2 linked regions of the Coturnix japonica genome follow. The protein of the gene in region 1 purifies or fractionates together with the protein of each later gene. This does not show direct contact. Links are inferred from orthologs where the notes say so. Each region holds a gene or a part of one and is shown in the gene's direction. Other genes may lie near its edges. The genes, in order: GOLPH3 and FAM20B.

Evidence for each region.
Region 2: the proteins of GOLPH3 (region 1) and FAM20B purify together in Homo sapiens (affinity purification with mass spectrometry; 3 studies listed by BioGRID and IntAct, with this or other methods). This does not show direct contact. The link is inferred for Coturnix japonica from reciprocal best matches to the Homo sapiens genes GOLPH3 and FAM20B.

Annotation. Positions count from the first base shown.
Region 1 is NC_029547.1:8,894,388-8,897,023, reverse strand, and holds part of GOLPH3 (Golgi phosphoprotein 3), read left to right. Parts: intron 1-2,274; coding exon 2,275-2,636. UniProt on the Homo sapiens protein: Phosphatidylinositol-4-phosphate-binding protein that links Golgi membranes to the cytoskeleton and may participate in the tensile force required for vesicle budding from the Golgi.
Region 2 is NC_029523.1:5,510,393-5,514,219, forward strand, and holds part of FAM20B (glycosaminoglycan xylosylkinase), read left to right. Parts: intron 1-1,722; coding exon 1,723-1,914; intron 1,915-3,678; coding exon 3,679-3,738; intron 3,739-3,827. UniProt on the Homo sapiens protein: Responsible for the 2-O-phosphorylation of xylose in the glycosaminoglycan-protein linkage region of proteoglycans thereby regulating the amount of mature GAG chains.

The DNA of each region.
Region 1 (2,636 bases):
TTGTGTGCAGATCTTCATATGAAGCTAAACATTTTTTGGGAAAAAAAAAAAAAAAAGGAAAAACATCAGTTTGATTTCATTTTTACAATTGCAGTTAAAACTCTTAATATAACTCTCCAACAGCTGTAGTCATGGGCTGTATAATTTAAGCTGATCAACAGCCACATTTAATAGCATATACTGGCTTTTTTGTCCAGTTCTCTGCTTCTTTGTATTTCTGTTTTTCCTGTACTACCTCAATAAGCCTTACTTGCTCTCTCATGTTCTCCTGCACAGTTCATACTTAGTCCTTTCCATTCCTTCTTTCTAGTTCTGTGAGTGTTGGTCAGTAGGTAGAGAGAATGAAAGAGTTCTTGTCAGTAGGGGGCAGGGCTGCAGCACATCCTCACGATTTAGTCTGTTCTTGCCCAGCCCTCCTTCACTTCTGCAGCTTGTAAAGGCAGTTCTTTTCATAAATACAGACATTTCGCCTTAACAACATCAAGTTTGTGCTGGTTCAAAGAAGTTTATGCAATAACTGAAATATATTGTAGGTTTTCCTTGGGGCATGAGCCTGATAAACTTTGGCTCTAAGAAAAATTATTACCATTAGTGCAGTGGCTGAGACTTAGATCAATCCTTTTTGCTTGCACCAGTAATTACTGGTTCTTCTATGGTGCTAGGGTATTTTGCATTTCTCATGGTTGAGAACTGCTGTTTGAAGAATGTTTTAAAAGAGCTCTTTAATCTGGGACCTGATCCTGGGAAAACAGTTGTTCCAGCTGTCGTTATCAGAAGTGCAAGAATACTGCTTCTGTTCCAATGTGTATGAGTTCAAAACCATTGTGGAAATCTTTATATGGATGTTTGAAGCTACATTTGCTAGGCCGGTGTTGCTTATAAGATAACCTCAAAGAGAGGCAAGTACAGGGAATACAGAATGTTGGGTCAAAAAGCCAAGTCTCCCTGTATTAAAAACATCCATCCATCTGTATTGGAATAAATGTGTAGTGGTAGAGATTGGTCACAAGGTGTCACCACAGTACTAGTTTTTATTATCACAGGCGCATCCACATACCAGATTTAGAAGCATCTAAGAAGAATTGTTTGCTCTGTGAAGAGCTGAAAGGACACTGCCATTTGGGGGGTGATGGTGTGTGATAGTTTCATTCGTGGTCAAGCTGTAAAATCCCATGGCAGTAAAGAGTGGGACCTACAGGACTTTTACGATGCAGTTGGTGTCACCCCATTTGTTTACTTGACTTGGCTGTTACTTGCATAAAGCTTGTCACCTTGAACTAAGTGGGAAAGACTTAAATTCTTCTGTGTTTTTATTTATTATTACTGAAAAGTAACAGAAAAATAGAAACACACTGCTGTAGAAGTTGTTATATTGTTTACAGAAAAACTGTTTCTACATGAGAAATGTTCAATGCTGTTTATCTTTCCTCACCTGTAAAAGTGCAGTGGCTTTTTAATATCAGGAGGAGATCTTAATGCTGAAACACCAAGGTAAGCTATACCTAAAAATTTTAGGCAAAGTAAACTTTTAAACAAAGATGGATTTCTCAGTGCTTAACAACTTCAGCTGCATATGTAGCTGTTGGCATACTTTGTGCTTTAAAAATTCCCTTCTCTTAAGTGCATACATGTGCTCTGAAGTGCCCTTGAGAGGAGCGGAAATGGGGGAAAGAGCATAAACTCGAGGATACAGAATAAACAGTTATGTAGGGTAGTTACACATAAACTTAACTTTATGGCAGAAAGAATGGTGGTGACAGTTCTTCCAGTCTCTGAATTGATAAATACTGGAAGCAGACAAATATGTTTTAACTTTTGGTTAGCCCTGAAGAAGTCAGGCAGCTGGTCTAGACAAACTTGGAAGGTTCCTTCCAACTCACCTACTCTGTTCTAAATGGACAAGGATGGAGGAAGTGCTTTTTAAATTCTATATAATAAATGTTTTTGTTATTACTATTAAAACTCTTTGTGACTGTTCTCCATCAGTACAAGAGTGCTTATTTATTGTATTCTCGGTCAAGGCATGACTTAGCTAGCATTTAATCCCAACTTTAAACATACCCTGAAACTCTTCAAATTTGTTCTCATGGTTTCTGTCCTTATTAATGTGTCTGGATAGGTCAGGGATCAGAGAAATGCTGACATGCCCACACTGTCTTACGGTAGTAGTCAGCTATATGAATTTGACAGCTCACTCTGCACCACAGGGAAAAAAAATCACTGTGTAGTTCAGCTTAGTTTTTGCCTGACTAGCTTTTTTGTTTGTTTTTTTAGGTGAAACATGGAACCCGTTAAAGTTGCACTACCAGTTACGAAATGTCCGTGAACGGTTAGCTAAAAATCTAGTGGAAAAAGGTGTACTGACAACAGAGAAACAGAACTTCCTTCTTTTTGACATGACTACGCATCCTCTCACCAACAACAACATCAAACAGCGCCTCATCAAGAAGGTTCAGGAGGCAGTTCTTGACAAATGGGTGAATGACCCGCACCGCATGGACAAGCGTTTGCTGGCACTGGTTTATTTAGCCCATGCTTCAGATGTTCTGGAGAACGCTTTTGCCCCTCTTTTGGATGAGCAGTATGATTTAGCCACAAAGAGAGTGCGGCAGCTTCTGGATTTAGACCCTGAGGTT
Region 2 (3,827 bases), on another chromosome or scaffold:
TATCATGGACTACCTGCTTATGTGGGGTTCTACCTGTGCTCACTTAATATATGCTGTAGTTTAAACCTGACTCATTCAGATTGCATGGCTCTGTTGTTCCACATCTTACTGTGTTGTGCATTTCACTTTGAGGGCATCAGGAGAACGAAACATTCCAGATGTCTCACTCCCTTTTTTTCTGCTTCTGGTAATTACGAAAAAGTAACTGTAGGAGTTTTCTTCCTGATCTCACTGCTTATACTCTGCCCTCAGTTGGCCTCTTGAACATAATTCATATAGTGCCATTAGTCTCCATAATTTTTAATGGACATGTAATAGATAAAATACATGACCTTCAAAGTCCAAGGCTAATTAGATACTAAGAATGAGTAATAGATGTTGGAGAAAGATCTGTCCTGAGAATTCAATGAAAAATGGGAAGAACAGAGCATAGCTCAACATTGTTTCAGATATATTTAAGTACCAATCCAAAGTAAAATAGAAACGCTTGAAGGGGAGAGAGTAGGTAGTGTTCTAAGTACAAGGAATAATGCATTCTGAGGCATTTGCCTTGTGGGTTTGTGCTGTAAATTGAATACAAGTTTGACCTGGATGCAAAAGAAAAATGGAACTAGAGAAGTGCTAACAAAAGCACTGAGAAGGTAATTTTGTGATGCTTTCCTTTTGGATAACTGGAGGTAAGATGGGATATTGGAGCTTAGAGTCCAGGCCTTTAGAAGGTGAGGTTGGTGTGTGTGACAGCTCTAGTTGTTAAATTCTGATCTTCTCTCAGCTTTTATTAGTCTGCACATTTTTGAGCACGTCAGTCCTTCCAGCTTTTGTTTCCTCCATTTGTTTCCAGTTTGCAGATGGTTTAAGGCATTGCCAACTGCTATTTTGCAAAGGATCGTTTCATTCTTTACATGGAGGATGTTATAGATGTACTTGTTATTTAGGTTGACAGATGGAAAGGAAATATGCCAGAGTTCTGGCTGATTTGGTGGTGGTGGTGGTGCATAGCTCTGAAAACTGTGAAGAAGGAAAGGGGAAAATTTAGAAACCGAGCTTTGGGGAATGGAGATGTGATATTTATGTTCTAAGTCTACAGGTGTGTGCACATGCTATGTGCATAAGAAAAGGAGAGAACAGAGAAGCTTTGAATCTTGCCAATGGAGAAGGTGAGAGATTCCAAAAGAAAAGGTGCAGAGGAAAGAGGCAACTATGAGTGAAAGAACGAGCATACGTGGGGCCCTTCTCTTTAAGCCAGTGGAGATCATTAGTAACTATGAAGAAGTTATTGCATTAGACAGGAAAACAGTCAGGAGGTAGCTGGAAAGCAAAGCTGATGGGAGCAGATCGTAGCAGTAAAAATAGCCGTAGTACTTGAAATCTGGATGAAATGAGAGCAAACCAGTCACGATGGACATCCATCCATGCCATGAGGCAGCCTGAACACTGCTGGCTTGCAATCAGTGAGTAAGCAAACTGGCTTGTTCTGTGGGAAGACGATACGAAACCTTTCATTAGAACTGTGACTTGCTCTGTACAGTAAAGCGTTAACATAGGTTTTATTCTTCTGATGACATTTTTGTCTGACTCTTTCTTCTTTCAGAGCCTTGATTTGCTGCACTCAACTTTTCTTTAAGCACTGATGACTGAATACTGGGATGGCTGTAAATACTTGTGGTGTGCAAGGATGGATCTTTCTCTTGATTTAGTTTGATTTCTCTTGCTGGCCTACAGGTGGGAATATGATGAAAGCTATTGTGATGCTGTGAAGAAGACTTCACCCTACGACTCGGGCCCCCGTCTGCTGGATATCATTGACACAGCAATATTCGACTACTTGATTGGGAATGCTGACCGGCATCACTATGAGAGCTTTCAGGACGACGAAGGAGCCAGTATGCTCATCCTTCTGGATAATGCCAAAAGGTGAGAGTAGGGGAAATCCTGGTGGCCGGGCCTCAGCAGGTGTGAGGACTCGCATTTATCTGCTCTCTCTGTTTTCTGTCTTTCTCTTGCTTACTTTTCTGTTACTAATTGGTTTTTGTTTTGTTTTCCCTAAAAATCCAAAGCTTGCTTTCTTAATACTCACAAAATATTAGGTACTTTCAGAGGCTGTGGTACTTTGTGCTCTGCTTATGATTGTAATGGGTAAAGCCTTAGTCAAACTACAGGAACTCCCAAATTAATCCAGTAGAACTCATTTATTAGAAGCAGCATTTTAAAGGTTTGTTTGCTTCTCCTACCACAGACCCCCTCTCAGTTGTATTGTCTTAAGCAATGTTAGGTTATAGGGTTTGCTATGTGTGAGTGCTGTGGTATAAGCAGCTCCCTTTATAATGTTGCTCTGGGTGATCTGGCATTCCGTGCCTTCTGGATCTGTCTGCTATATCAACAGAAGTTTAAAATGACGATAGAACTGATACTGAAAGCAAAATATGGTAGAGGAGGAAAAACATACTTTCAGGTACATTATTAGGAATGCCACTTTTGCAGAACCACATGTTGGAAAATATTTAAGGGACTTAATAAATCATTTCTTTATATAAAACATGAACTGTTATCAGGACAAAAATGAAGTGTAGTAGTAACTGGGAGGAACTGATGAGAAGTCCTTCCTGAGGCCAACCTTTACTATTGTGTCTGCTCTTTCTCCATTTCACTTCCATATTATGGACTCCTTTCCTTCCCTCTTCCTTTGCTTCTGATGTGTCTGAAGGAGCTGAGCTGAGCATTTTGTCTTTATACGCTAGCCTTTTCAGTAACACTCCTTCAATTATGTCAGCAGGATGTGTTCTACCTTGAGATTGCTAAATTATTGCTGTGTTCAGATTGCTCGAGGTGAATTTGGCAAAAAAAAATGGCTTTCTGTAATGCATTGGAAGTGGGCCGGGAGGATGCTAATTTGTTAGTCCCTGGAAGTGAACGTAATAGTTGAGGATCACAACAGACCTTTCTTTATGGTGTGTGCTCATGGTGTTACAGAAACACTTCTGGTCGGGCTTTACAGGCCAAGAAGTAAATTGATTTTTTGAAAGCTTGGGTAAAATTCTTTCTGCTTCTTTGAGATTAGTGTAGGGAAACAGCTTCTTAAAGCCACTAACAAGAGAATTGTTGGAGCAGAGTAGTGCCGGACTCATAAGGTAAGTTATCTTTACTGAGGGGAAAGTTCTTTGTTGAAAGCAATGTTAAGGTTAAAATACAATTGAATTCTTTTGGCAGATCTCCCTTAGGGTGTGTGATCGTGAAGTATTAAGCTTGATCACCGTGTACACTGAACTGTTGATCTAAACTTGGCAGTCTAAACTAGCACGTGGCTGCTGTGTCACTCATTCCCTGTCCAGCTGTATCAGACAAGCAAAACTCATGCCCTGTGTCCAGAGTACTACTTACTGCTTTCCTCCACTTTACAAGATGAACTCCATTCCTCAGCTCCTCTAAGGTTTGTTTCCTGAGGTGCCTTGATCTGATAAAGAACTGGGTACACTCGTGTTTCTTCCATGTGTCTGGTGTGTTAGCTGACACTTGAGGGTTATATCTGTAATTGGTCATGACCTGTTTATATTCTCATTCAAATGACTTGAGCTATTGGAGCATGAAATTGCCTAGTATTGATTTTTGAGTTCTTTACAAATCTGTTGATGTTGAGAGCAACATTGTGTTCAACTCATTTGCTTTTGTTTTGCTTTTCAGCTTTGGCAACCCTGCCCTGGATGAAAGAAGCATCCTAGCTCCTCTGTATCAGTGCTGCATGTAAGTGAAGTGCAGAGATGCTGTTGACTTTATTTATGCAATTGCTGTCCTTAGATTTGCAATAAAATTATGTTTGAAGCTTTCTGGCA